3 linked regions of the Neurospora crassa OR74A genome follow. The protein of the gene in region 1 purifies or fractionates together with the protein of each later gene. This does not show direct contact. Links are inferred from orthologs where the notes say so. Each region holds a gene or a part of one and is shown on either strand. Other genes may lie near its edges. The genes, in order: hat-2, NCU03464 and NCU04136.

Region 1 (7,088 bases):
GCAAGCAAAATGAGAATTTACAGCTGCCGTCAAGAATGAGCCTTGAACTCAATGCCTTGGAAACGCTGTCAACTATTCCTCCGTTATGGCTTCATTGTGTATACAGTGACTCTTACCTAACCGACCTTTACTTACAAATCCCAAGATAAATACCCAAAGGGCCCCTTCAAGGAGGAGAAAAAAAAAAGAGTTCACAATGTGTGATCCAATTCTGTGAGAGAATCCGTGATCCTTTTTATATCATTTCTAGTACGGTTTCAGGCTCCTCTTTTCATCCTTGTTTAATATCCTTCCATGCCCATGGCTTCAAACGCAAACTTGTTTGTCCCTGCTCGCACCCTCACGACAAGCCAACTTATTTCTGATGCTTGAAAATGATGCTACTGGGCCGCCTAAAGGCCTGTAAATAGTAGAAGACCCTCAGCCTGACTAACTAACCGAAGCAAGACTCTTGGAGGGTGATTACCGGCTCCTCGTCGTTCTGTCTGAAACACGGGACTGAAATTAAACGCATTCCTTAGACGAAACCGTGAAACCTAATATAATGGCGTTCGAGCCGGTCAACAAGGGACGAAAAGAACAATGGCGATATGATGTGAAATGTGAGATGTGATACCGTCGTATTTTCGCCAACCGTAAAACGCCAACCACCAAAAGCAAAAAGCGCCACTGCTCTTGTCCATTGTTATACAGGGCGGAACACCAACCACGCCAGGCAATATACTGCCCAATTTGCCTCGCCGTATACCTCGTCATGGCCAACCAAGTTATATGGGAACCAACCCGTATGAAAGAAGGCAGTCAATGTGACTTTTTTTTCCCGGCTAGCTCCAGGTTGAAACACCAGAACCAGCGATATCAATAACCACCACAACCTTACTAGCTAGGAGTCATGAAACTAGCAGCGACCGGCGCGTTCGGGTTGGGCGAGCCGACACCAGAGGCGCCATCGTCCTGAGTCTGGTCTTTGGTCATCGAACCGTTGAGCAACGGGCAGAGCCTAGAATGTCAGGGTTAAAAAGAGTGAAAACCGACGGAGCATAATGTGCGGACAACTTACTTTTTGTTTGTCTTGATATGGCCCTTGGCCCCACAATTTGCGCATCTGCGAGTGGTTCCAGTGGCTTTCTCAATCGAGGGCTCTAACGACCCGTCGTCGTTATCGAGGGGTAGAGTTCCTCCACTCTTGAGGCGCTGTTGTAGTTGTTTCTGTCTCTCGCGCTTCATTGTTCTCATTTTATTCTTCATGAGACGATCATGTTCCTTCTCGAGCCTAAAGAGCAATGTCAGTGTGCGGCCCTTTCTTTCAAGTACAATGCGTAGAGGGTGACCAACAGCTCGAGAATAACGGCGTCCCGCTCTTGGTCGCCGGTCATCTTAACATTGTAGATACTGCGAATAAAGTCAGTCATTGGTTCTTCTTCAAGTGCTTATGGGAGGGAACCTACTCAATCTCGGACTTTTGCTCTTGGCGACGCCTCTTGACGTACTGAGCAATGACAGCAGGGTCCCTTACGACCTCTGTCACAGTCCGTGTTTGGCCATTTTCATCCCTCACCTCTCTTGTGATCACGAGCTTCTTCCGGTTAATAGCACTGGTGGCGCTCTGGCTAATCTGACTAAAACCGTCCTGGACCACAGGGGTTTGCGCGAATTGGCTGCCCTGTACGTTGAAACGCTCGTCTTCATCCTCTTGCCCAAGCACATCTTCATCATCGTGCTCTTGGGAATCCAAGAGACTCTCCCGCTGGCGGTTCCAGATATCGGTAAGAGCCTCGGTGTAGAGTGTGTCCTGGTTCTTGACGTTGTACATGTGCCCACCGTTCGCTTTGCGCTGCCTCTCTATGGCATCTGCTGATGTGGCCATTGGTCCTTGGAGCTGCTCAAGATAGCCGCCTTTCATGGACGTCCTCAGGAAACTGATGCCCAGTCCCTTGCCCGTCGGGTCGCCGGCGCCATGAACTGCAAGCATAGCCTTGCCATGACTGGCGTCAAGAAATGCCTTGGTAGTCTTCCAAGGCGCCATCTTGTTGGCAAGAGCATCTGGAGAGAGCTCATCGTTCACATCAACCCCAATGTCATCGTCCTTGAGGGAATCGGTAGCATCATAACCACCCTTCTCGATCTCGTGCAAGCCCACTTGCATGGCGTCCAATAGGCAGACCTCTTCCGGCCTAACAAGAGATCGAATGGCCGGTTCGGCCATTAGCTCTTCGCCTTCGGGCAGCGCCCAATCTTTTGTTTCCTTTCTAAAGCGCAGGAACTCCTTCAACTTTTGACGATTCTGAGACTCGTTGGACTCAGCTACATGCTTAGTAATATCATGGAGGGTAACATGCTCGCTCTTGCGAAGTAGGCGATACGAGACCATCTTGAGACGATTCTTGGCAATGTTTGTAACACGTCTGGAATGGGGCCCTGGGACTTCCATGGAGGGCAGGGTTTGGCCGACAACGTAAAGATGATCGATATTTCTGATGTACCAAGTTGAGCCTTTTTGGCCGGTACTGCTACGACCAATCAGGAAGTCTGTATTCCTCGGGTTATGCTTGAAAATAGGGGCGCGGAACATGTGGTTGTGAAGAGTAGGCACGACCTCGCCAGGGTGGACGTGACCGAAGATGGCGAAGGGTGAGCGATCTTCTGGCATCAATATACAAGTCTCGCCAAGCTCACGCTTCTCAGGTCTGCTATCAGCGCCTTTAGCTCGACGGAAGTAATTAATGATTTTCTGTCCCATGCCAAAGTTGGAGAGAACGGTGGGAATTTCCTCGCAGTACTCGAAAAGGATAGCGGTCGAGTTGTCGTTGAGGGAGAGGTCATGAGTACTCTTAAATACCTCGCTGACGCGTTTACCCTTGAGAGTCTTGCGCTTGATAATGGCAGGCTTGTCGAACCTGATGAGATACTGCAGATCCTTCTTAGGGTGGAGCTGAGGCCGGTGATAACTATGAGGGTCACTGGCCGCGAGCTTGACGCGGTAGTAAGGCCAAGACAGTCTCTGCGCAGGCAAACTGTGCTCGACAGGGATAGTAGCCAACGTGGCCCGAACCCTATTCTGGCTGTTCTCCTTCAACGCGTCGTAAGCAGCGTCAGAGGAGAAATTGAACCGCTGTATAAGGTCCCGCCCAGCTTTCCCATTCGCCAAGCGGACCGTTTTATGTTGGGTCTTTCGCCGCTTAGATGACCGCTCAGATTCGACGTCGTCTATCAGCAAATAAGGGTCGTTCATGTCAAGGATGACACGCTTGCCCAATTTCGAAGTGACCTGCTCGAATTCGTCCAAATTTGGAGCCGTGAAGTGAGCAATAGGAGGAAGACCTTTAGGAATTTCGATCTTTCTCCGCTTTTGAGCAGGCTCATCGAGGAACATGGCATCCCAGTCCGCCTCTTCATCAGGCTCATCCTTAATGAGCATGTTGTCAGGTTTCGGCTGCGGTCCCGGCTCGATGGCAGCCGCAAGACTGTCGCCCAAGAAAATCATCTGTTCCCAGTCCTGACATATCGTAGCTATGTCCTGGAGGGTATATCCACCTATCCTCTCCGAATCCGTTTCGTCGTCCAAGCTGAATACTTCCAGATCGGTTTGTTCCAAAGGCTCTGGCTCTTCGAGACAGAACAGACCTCTCGCTTCCGCTTCCTTAATCCTCTGCCAAACGGAGCCAGTGGCAGGGCCCGGAATCCGGAACTGCTTTTCCTGATCGGCATCCAACTCCAGACTGAGTTTTGATGGTATCAAGGGCTTGGGAGCTTTGGGGGGCTTTTTTGAGATCCATGTGGCATTCTTGGGCTTCAATAGTTCGTTCCAATGCAGGATGGCGTTTTCCTCAAAACCGGGGAATAGTTGCTTGACGGCGTCGATGAAGTTTTCCGCTGGCGGAGGAATGTCGGGATCTTGATTTGTCGCATGCGGCTCTTCGTCATTGTCGAAGTTGAGGTTCCGGAGGTCTTCAAGGGACTCCCCGGCGGCAGCATCCGGACGTTTTTTGGCATCAACATCGTCATGGACGTCGAGCGGCGGGGGAGAGGATCTCAGGCCATCGTGAGCTGTGTCCATGGGCGATGAGGGGTCGCCACCAAAGAGGTCGTCGTCATCATTAGTGCCGGCGTCGTCGATGAGGCTTGGCAGCTCGCCACTGGTGCCGGAAGTGCTCGGTTCGTCGTTGGGTAGCTCGTCCTCGTCGCTCAAGTCGATGTCCTCAAAGTCGATGGCATCGTCTGCCTTGCCTCGTTGATCGATCTCGCCTCCCGACTGGAGGTTCCCCAGCATTTCAGTCAGACCATCGTTACCACCCGGGCCGAAGCTGTTGTTGATCTGGCGAATGGCTTCCTCATCGCGGGCCTCCTGCTCCTTCCATCCTTCCTCATTGAGGGCGTTGAAATCAAAGTCGTCGTTGTCTGCGGGCATCTTGCCGGGCGGAGAGGCGATGCCGCCTCAACGCTGTGTGTTGTCGTCTGTCGCGCAGTCGTCCGCCCGTCTCTCTCTTGCTCCCTCCAACGGTTGCGCGGCCGGTTAAGCTGTCAGATCATGATCCTGGAGCGGAGAAATCGTCGAGAATGCCCGCGGCGGGGGAGCAAAGTGAACCAAGCGCGCGTTCGGTGTTGGTGGGGTGTTGGCAACGCCGCATGCAATTTTGGGTCGTGGTTGTGGCAGAGTCGAAATGGCCGTCGGGTGAGTCGAGGGTGAGGTTGACGTTGAGGTTGCAACGGTACCTAGCGGAAGTTGCAAAAGTGTTGAACCTCCCACAAGCAAGGAAGCACACTGCCACTGCGCGGAGTGCAAGCGTGCTTGAATGCGAACAACGAATCGGCCTGTCGGGGCCACTGCACGGCTACTCTAGGTACCTCTAAGTGGGTCCGTTGACCGGGCCCGGGTCTGGCAGCCGTGTGACAGCCTACCTAGGTACCTACCTATTCTAGATACCTAGCGAGCAGCCCCAGGGCAGTGACTGGGGGACGCTAAGTGCAGTGAATGGCTCGCGCACACTGTCCCTGGTCTTGAAGCATAATACCTAGGTAGCGTTGAACCTGGAACTTGCTTTGGGAATCTGGTAAGGAACCTGGAATAGGTAGGTAGGTACAGGTAGAGGTAGAGGTAGGTAGCCCAGGTACCTAATACCTAAACTGTACAACCTGGAAACTCGGGGCGTTGATTTTCAACTTCCTAGGAAATCAGGCATAACCTGTAAGCATGCTGCCCGATTATGTGCATTTTATGTCCACAAAATTAATTGGAGGAGACTTCCATGTTGCCACCCCGAAGCACGGTAAATTCGATTCTTCAATGTCCTGCCTTAAAACACCTATCTTTTCAAGGGCGCTGGAGCGTGGAGACATTCAAAATCACCGTCTTGCATAGAATTTTTGGTGGGCATGAATGTTGCAGTATGCTTACAGCTTAGGCCTGATTTCCCAGAAAGTTGAAAACCAACGCCCCGAGTCTATACGGTATGCGACCTCACCTACAACTTACAAGTACCATCCAGGTAAAGTAAAGAATATGGAGGAAGAACTAAAGCTTCCCCGCCTTGTGTGACAACCAAATCAACGGCAGGTACAGAAGGAATAGGACCCCGTTGGAGGCGAAGAGACATGAATCGAGAGCGAAATCAAATACTGATTAATTGATCTCTTACAACAGTAGAGTGACGCGCAACTTAAGTCCCGTCTCCCTCTCTGTTCGGGCCAAATGGCCACAATGTCACCCGCAACGTGGGGGGCAGAACACACCTGAACTGATGCGAGATGTCATTTCCAGTCTCTCTGGATTCTCATTTCTCTGCAACCACACTCGCACGCCCATACCAGTGCTCAGCCCGTTTTTGGCATGACAGTTCGGATGTTATACCCTGCGAACTGGCAGGGCCATGAAGTTCAGCAACAGTACACTCACTACCAATGGTGTTTTTGACGTACAGTGGGAAACTGTGTTAAAGCCACGGCCGAAGCCATGGTTACGTACTAGGCTGTCGGTAAAGCCAAAGCTACATTTACCTACTAGAGGTACTATTCCTCTTTCTTGAGATGACTGGATTAGGTGGTTTAAAGAATGTAACAAATCAGCCGATATTGTGGGCCACAGTCATACTGCGTCTACCATAGCAGCTTCGTCATCGCCTTTTGCACCGTTTTCTTTACCTCGCACACCAAGTGAAGTTTCGAGGGCAAAAATACCACACTGCTCACCATGGCAAACCCCGTAATGGAAGAGTTGAAGCAAAAGCAAGATGCTCTAAGGGCGAGGTTCGTCGGCAAGCAGCTGTCCGAGGTCCCTACGCCCAGCGTCGTCCTTGACCTTAAACAGGTCATGGTGAACTGTGAGCGCATGCTCGAAGCAGCCGAAAACCTTGGCCTGCAATGGAGAGCTCATATCAAGACCCACAAGGTACAACAATGGATCATGACCCATTAAAACGACAAAACAAAACTGTCACTGACAACTGTAAACAACATATAGACAACAGAGCTCACCCGCCTCCAAGTCGGAAACCACCTCACCATTCCCGTCCTGCTAATCGTCTCAACCATCCTTGAAGCCGAAAATATCACTCCCCTCCTCAAAGAGTACCAATCCAAAGACCGCCATGTCAACGTTCTCTTATCCTTCCCGCTCTTCGCATCCGCCGTCCCCCGTCTCGCCGCCGTTTCTTCCCAGCTCGGCCCCGATGGCTTATCCGTTATGATCGATCACGTCGATCAGCTCCCCTACGTCAAGGCCATCCACACTTCCTCAGGACACCCTCCCCGCGTGTTCATCAAAATCGACGTCAACTACGGCCGCGCCGGCGTCAAGACCGACTCTCCCGAGTACCCATCTCTAGTCGACGTCCTCCTGGCTGCTGAGCGGGAAGGATGGTTGGTGCTGCATGGCTTGTATACACATGCCGGGCAGAGCTACGGGGCTCGCAAGCTCGGAGATGCTATGCATGTTCTTCACGCTGAATTCATTCACGCCCATAATGCTGCCATGAAGATTCGCGAAAAGAGTCCGGACCATGCTCCTCTGGTGTTATCGGTAGGTGCGACGCCAACGGCGACGACGATCCAGAGCCCTTGGTTTACGGGGGAGTGCGATGTGCCCACGGCAA
Region 2 (6,807 bases), on another chromosome or scaffold:
AAGCGGGTGAGATTACTTAAGGTATTTAGGGTACTTAGTAAGTAGTAAAAGGAGAAGAGAAAAGACCGCGCTATTCGTGTAGTGTAACAGCGAGATCATGTCGACGTTCAACTGCGAGTATCGAATGTATCTTTGCTTCAATATATTGTATCCAGATCCAACCACCAACTCCTGGGATTGAGTGTCTGAGACAACACACAAACTGAAAGGCATTTAGCAAACCGATTACTCTTTCATTTTCCGCGACAGGGACATAGACACGGTAGAAAATTACGCTCTTGATCGTTCGTCGTCTATAACAAAAAGAACAGGAGAAAACAAAAACAAAGACCGAGAAACATACAACACCAGGGATTCGCTGGTCGTCACCGACCCAACTACTAGTCTGGCCCTCACTGGCTTATCTATGGGAGAGCGGACGGGATCCCGAGTTTTCCAGTGGGTATGGTCGTATGTGCTTGTTTCGGGCTGTTCTTGGACTTATATGAGAGAGCTCCTCTGGTCATAGATGCCGGAATGACTCGAGCCTCTTCCACACAATAAACAAAGAAATCGGCAAGTGAGAGATCTATGATAGTGAGGAGAGTAGAGAAAGCGAGGGTTATGAAGAAAGAAACATAATGGATGGCTTGCTTTGTACGAACGCAAAGTGACAACGTCAAGTAAGGCGGTCATCACCTGCTTCCCTTTTGCAGGTGGCCAAGGAAGTGCACAACATAGTCTGGGATCACCAACCGTAGAACCTTGGGGAGAAAAGAAGTTACGAGGAAAGGACATCCGCGAGCAAAAAGAACACGTGAACAGCCTCATTTCGATCTAACATTCTTTGTCGCGGAGAAGTTACATCAGCAGCCATGACCGGAACAAGTCGCCGAAGAGGACACATTTTTTTTGCAGACACCCTGTTTAGCTACCAACCTTGGACATTGGGGGTCTTGAATGCATCATTGTCTCTTCATTTGGTCTCTCAAAGAAAGGGATATGGCGCGGTGATCGTCTAGGACATCCCGCCCAAGTCTAATGAAGGATCCGCAACCTTGATAGTCTAGCCGCAGCCTGTTGAGAACCATACCAGAACCTTCTTGAACTGACCGAAGGCCAGGTGTTTAGCTACCTCGTGACCGTGCTCAACCCAGCAAGCCAGACACAAAAACCGGTGACCGCTACAAGAGCGTGGAACCCTCTGCGATGTTGGCCAGGCGAAACCAGTTTGATGCCATGTGATCCACTAGTGATATCTCAGCCACGATGATCCCATATCTCTTTTCGTACTGTCGAGCCTTGCCCAGTCGTCTAGAACAGTCGTAAACCGGCAATCCGAAGCTCAGCTCGCTCGGGTCCCATCTCGGTAAAATCATGGAGTCCAGCATTGTCGATAGGGCGTCCGCTGCTTCCAAGTCCCACAAAGACCCTGTCGATCTCGCTTTACCGAGAGGGATTGGCCGGGTGTGCTGAGTTCTGGGCGTCGATAGTCGCAAAGTGTCGGTGTCCCCGAGCACGCCAGATCGTCATCTCCAGTGCTGTCCTCCATTGCCTGATTGCCATCCGCCTGTTTCACTTTGAAGTACTTCCTTTGAATTTGTCGGCCTTGTTGTCCCGCGTCCAGAAAACTGTCTATCCTTATGTCGCCGGGGCTGTCGCTTTCTCCGATGCTCTTCTCTCCATTTTTTTTCCTTTTAGTGGAAACCCAGTGTGAACATATACTCCTGCAACTCCAAAGTTATGATTAAAAGGCGCAGTACCACGTAGTTGACAAGCGCCAAGCATTATAAAAACGTGTATTCGTGTCGAGGTAACAAGGGAAAGAATGATTTAGTTGCCAACAAGCATGGAGAACTATTCAACATATCTTATTAGTCTCTTTGGTCTAGAACAGACAGTGGATTGTGTGGAACAAACGGGAAAACATACCGCCATGAAGATACAACATATGCTAACATACGGACTCAGCCGCTCGCCTATCCTTGCGCACTTCCAGAAGATGCCCATCAAGCTGTTCATTTTTCATGTCAGCACGTCGTTCCGTTGACCAGTCCCTGTGTATCTTTTGTCTCTCCTAAAACCCGCCCTGTTTTCAAACTTTATGCGGTGTCGAGGCAGAAGAGACAGGTCCATCGCCAAAAAGGGGAAAGGCAACTCACCCATCCTTGTTCCGGTCGAGGATCGCGGGGAACATCTGATGTATGTATGTCGAGGTGCAGACGAGGAGGATGATGACTAGAAGGAGGGATTGGAAGTTGAAGAGCGCGGTCTGTGAAGATCATCAAAGTGGTTAGCGATGATGTGATGGGATGCAATGGGAGGTGATGCGCCATGACGTTGCGGGTGACATACCATGGTGGGCGCTTTGATATGATGAGGCTGTCGGGGAAAAGAAATTCTCGTTATTTGGAGACGCGTCCAGGTCTCGTCGCTCGCTCGTCGTCCTTGCCGTGGATATCGCGGGTGGAGGTGTCGTAAACTTGCCGTGTTGGTGGTTACGTAGGTGTAGTCAGTGGTGATTGTGGAGGCCAGGGTGTCATAGCTCCTTCCACGGCTTCCAGGGCAAAAGAGGCCCGCGAGGCTGCGAAATGCCACACTGAACTTTCAGCGTTGTTAGGGGTGCCGCTCAGCAGTCTCACGCCCCGGGGCGCGCACAGCTTCAGCTCTTCCATTGTGGTTCGCTCTTAAGTGGAAGTGGAATGGATGTGACTGGAAGCTGATTGGTCATTGGACTCCATACCCGTCTTGTGGAGCCACGGTTACACAAGGCAGGGGTTCCTGGCGCCGTTGGGGGGCCTGGGGGCCTTGGGGGCCTTTCTTAGTCCCGTTTGGCATTTCGGAGCCTCATTGTTGATCGATCCATCATCGTCATCGTTTTCAACTTCGAACCCGTCCTCCGACAAGACGCCTAAGTTGGGACATATGCCGCCGGGCTGGACGCTCTTTTCAATCAACTAACTAGACAGCTATCGTACAGCCTACCAGTTTCGCTCGATTAATCCAGCGCTGCATCATCCTCTCAGTCGTCAAACATTTGCGCTCCCTCACCACTTAACGCGACAAGGCTGATCGAGCTCTCGACCCCGCGCAACTCGAAGCTCTAAATCGCACCAGCCTTCGACGTTGAGCTTCTAGGTCTGCTCAACTGAGCCTCTGAGCCCGTCGATAAATTCAGCCTTCTACTCGGTTCCTATCCAAACCTTCCTCGTTTGCAACGCATCTCTACTGCGAACCGCAACCTCAATCCTCCATCCACCTCCATCCACCTCACCTTCGTCCATCACCATCCTCACACTTCGGGGCCTCAAGCCCACCCACCCCCAGCCCACCATGGAACCCCGCGCCCGCGCCGGCAAAAATGTCGGCAAAATGAATTTTAACCACAACGAACGTACGTCTCTTCTTTTTCCCACTCCCCATTTTTCCCCTCCTCCCCATTCCCCCCCCCTCTTCCCCCCTCCCCATTTCCCCCCTCTTTTCATCCCCCACCTAGACTAACCCCCCCTCTTTTTTGCATCGCAACAGTAGCCCAACTCCTCTACGGCCACGGCGACCTCAAGAACCCCCTGCCCGAAACCGTGCGCGTGCTCGACGAGCTCATCACCGACTTCATCCAGGGCGTCGGCTTCGAAGCCACGCGCGCCGCCCACCACGCCGGCCGACAAAAAGTCAAGTTTGAAGATTTCGAGTTTGCCATGCGCCGGAACCCGCGGTTCATGGGCAAGATCCAGGAGGTGTTTGAGAAGAAAAAAGAGATCGAGGCGGCGCGCAAGAATTTCAACATTGAGGATCAGTTGATGAAGGATGCGGATAAGGAGGAGAAGGAGAAGGAAAAGAAGGGGGGTAGTGCTGACAAAGGAGACAAGGAGAAGGGGGAGAAAGGGGAGAAAGAGAAAGAAAAGGGAGGGGAGAAAGGAGGAGGAGGAGGAGAAAAGGAAAAGGAAAAGGGACCGGGAAGTACTGTCTCGGGATCGGGGTCGGGTTTAGGTTCCGGCGGTGGCGGGACAAAGAGGAAGAGACAGCAGAGTGTGTTGGAGGATGAAGAGTTGGATGAGTTGGATGATGATTTGGAGGCCGAGGCGGATATTGGCACGGCGACGAAGAGGAGGTAGGATCTCCTTGGGTGGAACCGTCGTCGCTGAGAGTATTTCGTTTTGGTTGGTTCCGGGTTTTGGCCAAGTTGGTCTGTGATTTGGGAAGAAAAGGGGACGACGGCATGGCATTATTTCGTTTTGATAATATGCATAGCGAGGCGTTAAGGGACATGGATACGGTTAGGTTGGTCAAGCATGGGGATTATTGCCTTGAACGGGCTATGAGCTTAGGAAGTTCTATCACTCTTGACACAATAGCTTCCTTTTACAGTAGCCGTATCAACATTACTCTTCATACCAGCCCTTTATTAAACCCATCTCTCTCGCTTCGCAAGAAGTGCCCAGGACCTATTTTCCCGTTACTTTCCATTCCCATTTCTCTGTCCCTTCCCCTTCCCCTTTCCCTTCCCCCCCTTCCCTTTCTCCCCCTCAATGGCACTAACCCCCTCAAAAACCATAATCTCCCCTTTCCCAGGCAACATTCCCTCCGGCACTCTAACCTCCACCTTCTCCAAGACCTCCTTGGTCATCTCCCACTCCACCGCAGACTTGCCCGCATCAATCCTAGGCATCCTCATCTCCGGACCAATCACCATATTCATACTCTTCTTCTTCTTCGTAGCAGTCGCATTCACATTCACATTCACATTCCACTCCGCAACCTGCCTCATCAAATCCTCCATCGCCTTCCCTGTCGCTTTCATCATCGCCACCGCCGGATCTCTATACGGGCCATACCCAAGACTGGTAAAAAGACACCCGACAAAGTGCTTCTTGTCGTCCGGAACAGAGGGACGCGGCGGGATGAGCAGTGCCGTGCCGACTAAGCTGCGCTGGTGCTTGGCCAAAGCGTTTTTGCGGGCTTGGATGGGGTCGACGGACTCGGCGGCTTCTTCTTGGTCTTGAAGGAGATTGTTGGTTTGTGAGGAGGTGGACGTGGATGTGATGGGGATGGAAGAGCAGTGCGCCTGGTAGGCTTTGTAGGCTCCGGGGTAGTGAGTGCGGAAAATCCTGGCTATGCCGGTGCCCCAGTCGCCTTGGGCGTTACAGGCGTGGATGAGGAGGGAGCCAGGAGGGGGTGCGGGGGAGAAGATGTCGGAGGAGTTGGCGTGGGGGATGAGGGTGAGGCGGTGGGTGGTGAGGGGTGGTGGTGGTTTTTGTTGTTGTTGTGGTTGTTTGGTTGATGTTGCTGCTTTTGCTTGTGATGATGCGGATGTCGTCTTCGTCTTTGGTTCTGCTTTTCGCGCCTCCCGTGTTCGCGTCTCTGCTGTCGTCTCTGCTACACCCGGCGACGACAACCCCAAGGACCTCAACACCACACTCCCACCGTTGATGATCATATCATTTCCCACCTTCCAGCCACCCAAATCCTCTTGGTGTTCCAACGCACTGGGACCAAACTTGCGACCTTTCTTAAGACTGAACGTGAAATACGACGGAACCTTCTTTTCGACTGTTCCCATTGGTTCAGCTTTCTTCTCAGATTTCACTTTCCCATCGCCACCATCTTTCAAGCCATTGTTTTCCTGAGTCTGCTGAGTCCGCTGAACCTGCTGAGCCTGCTGATTCTTTTGATCCTGCTGATTCTTTTGACTCTGCTGAACGTGCTGAGCTTGCTGAACCCGCTGAACCTGCTGAACCTGCTGAACCCGCTGAACCTGCTGAACCTGTTGAGACTGCTCATCCTGCTGAGTCTGCTCACTCTGCTGATTCTTCACTCTCCCACTTCCACTTCCACTTCCACCAGCACCAGCAGCACGATTACGCCTAACGGCAGCCCATCCACCCATATGAGCAAGAATGCTCCCGCGGTTCTTGCTTCCCTCGCGGCTCTCAAGTCTCCGAATTCTTACGCCCCCAGTACCTTCAGCACCTTCAACACTACCACCAACACCACCACCACTATTACTGACCTCAGCGAGGCCAAAGTCCGCCACCTTGGGTTCCTCCAGTACTGTTTTCCTGTTTCTTGGTTTCTGTCCCTGTTCCGTGCCATTCAACCCATTATCACCGTTCTGTACTTCCTCCTGTGCCGCTGGCATGTCCGAGACTGTGGAGGGATCTTGATCCATTAGTAGCGGATGTGTCCGTGCTAATATCGCTTGCTGACGTTGCTGACGTTGCTGACGTTGGTGCTGTTGGTGCTGTTGGTGCTGTTGTCCCTGAATCTGTCTCACTTGCTGTTGCTGATGTTGCTGATATTGCTGTTGCTGCTGGTATTGTTGATGCTGATGCCGATACTCCTCCCTCCCCACCGCCAGTTGATGATACCCCCTCTGCTGCTGCTGTTGTCGATACCCCCCATATTGTTGTCGGTGCCCCTTTTGCTTGGTGCTATGCAGCCCAATAGTATTCACCTTAGTATCCCACGCAATTTGCTGTTGCTGGTGCTGTTGCTGTCGTTGTTGCTGCCCTGCTCCGTTCACTTTCATATCCACATCCACTTTGACTTGCTCCAGCTTCTGTCCCAACCTTTGCTCCTGCCCCAACCTCTGCCCCATCACCTGTCCCATGTCCAACCACTTCGCCATCTCTAACCTCTTCTCCCTCTCTATCTCCATCTCCATCTCCTGCCCCAGTTTTTCCGGCTTATGCCCCAACTCCTGTCCCTTCTCCAACTTTTGCTCCAACCTTTGTCCCAACCTGTGCTCCTGTCCACGTCCCTTTTCGAACCTGTGCTCCTGTCCACGTCCCTTTTCTAACCTCTGCCCCATTACCTGCCCCATTGCCT
Region 3 (3,600 bases), on another chromosome or scaffold:
CCCCACACCGTCCGGGTCCAGTCGTGCCACCACGGGCCGCACCCACTTGGCGCCGCGGTGCGTCTCGATCTTGGCTGGGCGCGTGAGTTCGCCGGGGTTTTTGGGTGCAGAAGCGGCCGCGTAACCGCCGGGTTTGTTGGAAGCACTGGGTTCGCCTGGACCGCCGGTACCGTCGTCGTCGGGGTTGTTGGGGTTGGAGTTGGAGGAGGAAGAGCGGAGGTTGATGATGCCTGCTTCTTCCATGGCGTAGATTTGTCGACGGAGTTGCTTGTCGACGCGGTCGAGGGTGGAGAGGAAGGTGGATTGGATTTGGGTGAAGCGGGTTGTAGCGTCTTCTTGGTCTTGTTCTTCTTGTTGTTGTTTTTGTTGTTCGGCTTCGGTTTGGTTCTGGGTGTCGGATGATGTGGGTGGTGGGGAGGCGAGGCAGCGGAGGGCGTTGGAGGTTAGTTCGAGAAGGGAGACGATGTCCTTTTTTTTTTTTGGAGAGGAGGAGGTTAGTTGGAGGAATATGGAAATGGTGGAAGGAGGTAACGTACATTGTCGATGTTGCTGAGTTGCTGAATGTGCTCGGCGGTTGTAAAGGGTTCGTGGATGTCGATGTCCATTTGGGATTGGAGCTGTAGTTGCCCTTGGGGTTGGGCGTTGTTATCCATGCTGATGTGAAGTTGTCGAATCGATGGGCTGATGCTTATGCGTATGGAATTATCGGTAGATATATATTGTAGTGAGTCCAATTGGGTGGTTTGTGATTTTATGTCGCTGCTGTCAACTTCTTGATGCGCCTGTTGGTGGTTTGGTTGTGTTTTGTATTTTCGGGACAAGGAGGCTGAAGAGGTTCTGGAAGCTCCCCCACCTGTCAATTGAGTTAAGGTTGGGTGCTGAATGGCCGGTGTGGACCTTGACGGACAACATGAACGAAACGTGGGGTAAATTCCGGGACCTGCAAGTGCCAAGGTCCAGCGTGCCTGCAGCAAAGCACGGATCAGGCGCTAGACAGACGCGCTAAATGGTCCACTGTTCGACTGTTCGCGACGTCCTCGCTCGGCAAATGCCGTCCTTCCACTTCCACTTGGACGGGCACTGACCTGGACCTCGTCATCTCCGTCTTTTCTTGAGCCTCATTATCAATCTCGCCCTTTCCCGTAAAACAGACGCTATCATTATACAGGCAGCCAAGATCGTTCTCGAAGTCAGAGTATACCCATTACGAACGAACTATATAGCACCGGATTCACAGGAGCTGGATCAAGACTCTACCATCATCTGCCACACGCGTCGACGTCCTCCTCATCCTTTACCACCCACTTACTAAGAAAGCCACATCGATACAACAAGAACCATACACGCCACCGGAGTCATTGAGGCTCGATTTTGCACCTGTTGTATAGACAAAGCATACGATATACGTAGCCGTTCGAGAAAAAGGCATCTCACACATCATGTCCAATCCCCCACCAGCAAACACCGGCCAGGCGCCGGGAGGGGCCACATATGGCGGTGGCCAACAACATCAACAACCTCAGTCTACTACTGGTGGTGCGCCAACGACGGGAGGCACAGGAGGAACAGGAGCTGCAGGGACGACCTCGACGAGCAGTACGGCGCCCACACCTCAGAATTTGAATCAGATAGTGAGTCCTTGTTGAGTGTTTGATTCCACCTGCCCCATGTTTTACCTATCAATGTTTTATAGCCTTGTTCAAGATGTACCAGCTCATGGAATTTCTATGAGCTTCATCTCTCCTCGCTTCCTTCTGCCCCTCCTCTTTCTACAGAACCTCTACATGTACAAGTACAAGTCATGAACTTTCCCAACCATCACCGTATTTCTTTTTGTTTTTTTGTTTCTTCATAATGGGCAGGCACACGGCATGTTGGCCGGCCGTGCCTTGGCGCTCATTCATATTCATGGGGCTTCCCATAAAGTTCATTTCAGATTCACTTCAGATTTCGTTCACCAGCACACCCGTCTAGTAACTCTAAGTTGCCTGGTTTACGTTTTTTCTCCTTCGTTACTACTACAGAATCAAGCTCATTATCATCGTCACATCACAACACAACACATCATCTCTTTTCGCTTTCCCCTGCCCTCAACATTTTGGTAACTTGCGGTAACGAGAAAACATTACGTCTATCCATATCTAATCATGACTCCACGATTTGCCCATCACTCGCCTCCTCCACATTCGCCTCTCCGCTTTTCTCATCTGCCGACCCAAGCTGTGATGGAGCTCTATCGTGTTAAACATCCAACTAACGACGCACAGGTTACGGATTACCTTAAGAAGAAAGGGTTCACCAAGACCGAAGCCGTTTTCCGTCAAGAAACAGCCCACCTCGGGCCTGACGGCAGGCCCGCGCAGCGTAACGAGGAGAACGGACCGCGAAAGTACTTAAAGGCGTTCATCTTGCTCCGAGATTGGATCGAGAATAATTTGGACATCTACAAGGTAAGAGACGACGAAGGCGAGCATCCAAATGATCCGTGGCAGTGATGCTGACAAGCAATAGTTCGAGCTAAGGAAGCTCTTGTGGCCTGTCTTCGTTTACTCCTACATCGAGCTCGTTTCCACGGGGTATGTGGAAGAAGCAAAGCACTACCTGGCAACACTACGACCTCATTTTGACGCTGTCCATCGTGAGGCGTTAGACCTGTTTACGACTGTCACCCTTCCACAACATATTCGCGAAAACCAAACAATCAAACTCTACCGAGAGAACAAGTATCGAATCCCGCTCAACCAGTCACTTTCTGGCAACCTCTTCCACTTTCTCGAGCGCGAGGCGGATGCTGGCGGCTCAACAATCACATTTATCCTCCAAACCTTCTGCCAGGTAGACGTCAGCGCAAGGGGGCCCATTGAGCCATTCAGCTTTGAGGCTATCTACCGACGAGCTCATAATCTAGATCTTGATGAGATTGACCAGCTCGAAGGCATTCCTGGTGTTTTCACCGGTGTTACAAACAGAGACGTTCTCGACTCATCAGCACCGCTGAAGCTCGGCCCTCTTCCAATGGAACCTGAATTGCGAGAAGACGTACGCGCAGAACTTGAGGACGAGGACCAGCGACATCCACCTGTAGAGGGCAGGTCTACACTCGTGGAGGAGTTCGACCAGCGGATCAAGCGAGAAGAGAGTGCCGACGCTCCCTCGAGAACAGACCTCCCTCTTCCACCATCTCGAGCCAGGGACGTCGTAATGGAGATGCAAAAAGTTCGAGAAAATCGGGACCGGTTCAAGATAGAGGGTCGGACTGGCGGTGCGGGTGTTCCTGTCTCGGCCTGCATGTTCACGTTCCATAACAGCTTGGGGAGGTAAGTTTTCGCACATGTTCTTCGGTGCGGCTCTATCATGCTGACTATTTTCTTCTTAGCGTTTCATGTATGGACTTTTCCAACGATCACGAGCTCGTGGCTGTCGGAACTATGGACTCTTATATCCGCGTCTGGTCTATGAACGGAAAGCCATTAAGATCATCTGTAGCCAGCGAGAAGGATCTACAAGTCAACAACCGGAAGCTGATCGGCCACTCCGGTCCGGTCTACGGCGTGTCTTTCTCGGATTCCATTGCCAACCTGGACCGTAATGTCTTCCCGG

Evidence for each region.
Region 2: the proteins of hat-2 (region 1) and NCU03464 purify together in Saccharomyces cerevisiae (affinity purification with mass spectrometry; 10 studies listed by BioGRID, with this or other methods). This does not show direct contact. The link is inferred for Neurospora crassa OR74A from reciprocal best matches to the Saccharomyces cerevisiae genes TAF1 and TAF13.
Region 3: the proteins of hat-2 (region 1) and NCU04136 purify together in Saccharomyces cerevisiae (affinity purification with mass spectrometry; 16 studies listed by BioGRID, with this or other methods). This does not show direct contact. The link is inferred for Neurospora crassa OR74A from reciprocal best matches to the Saccharomyces cerevisiae genes TAF1 and TAF5.

The regions. Positions count from the first base shown.
Region 1 is NC_026501.1:2,719,118-2,726,205, reverse strand, and holds hat-2 (histone acetyl transferase-2), read right to left. Parts: upstream 4,786-7,088; 5' UTR 4,409-4,785; coding exon 1,449-4,408; intron 1,393-1,448; coding exon 1,336-1,392; intron 1,274-1,335; coding exon 1,061-1,273; intron 1,001-1,060; coding exon 880-1,000; 3' UTR 201-879; downstream 1-200. Other genes in the region: NCU16368 (hypothetical protein), read left to right, coding at 6,188-6,385, 6,458-7,088. UniProt on the Saccharomyces cerevisiae protein: Functions as a component of the DNA-binding general transcription factor complex TFIID. Binding of TFIID to a promoter (with or without TATA element) is the initial step in pre-initiation complex (PIC) formation.
Region 2 is NC_026502.1:614,943-621,749, forward strand, and holds NCU03464 (transcription factor TFIID complex subunit Taf13), read left to right. Parts: upstream 1-2,849; 5' UTR 2,850-3,312; coding exon 3,313-3,373; intron 3,374-3,507; coding exon 3,508-4,094; 3' UTR 4,095-4,435; downstream 4,436-6,807. Other genes in the region: NCU03465 (hypothetical protein), read right to left, coding at 1,813-1,836, 1,912-1,993, 2,142-2,251, 2,335-2,337; NCU16511 (ADP-ribose 1''-phosphate phosphatase), read right to left, coding at 4,436-6,807. UniProt on the Saccharomyces cerevisiae protein: Functions as a component of the DNA-binding general transcription factor complex TFIID. Binding of TFIID to a promoter (with or without TATA element) is the initial step in pre-initiation complex (PIC) formation.
Region 3 is NC_026505.1:4,960,537-4,964,136, forward strand, and holds the start of NCU04136 (transcription initiation factor TFIID subunit), read left to right. Parts: upstream 1-1,057; 5' UTR 1,058-1,439; coding exon 1,440-1,631; intron 1,632-2,267; coding exon 2,268-2,450; intron 2,451-2,511; coding exon 2,512-3,317; intron 3,318-3,376; coding exon 3,377-3,600. Other genes in the region: NCU04135 (hypothetical protein), read right to left, coding at 1-468, 537-653. UniProt on the Saccharomyces cerevisiae protein: Functions as a component of both the DNA-binding general transcription initiation factor complex TFIID and the transcription coactivator SAGA complex.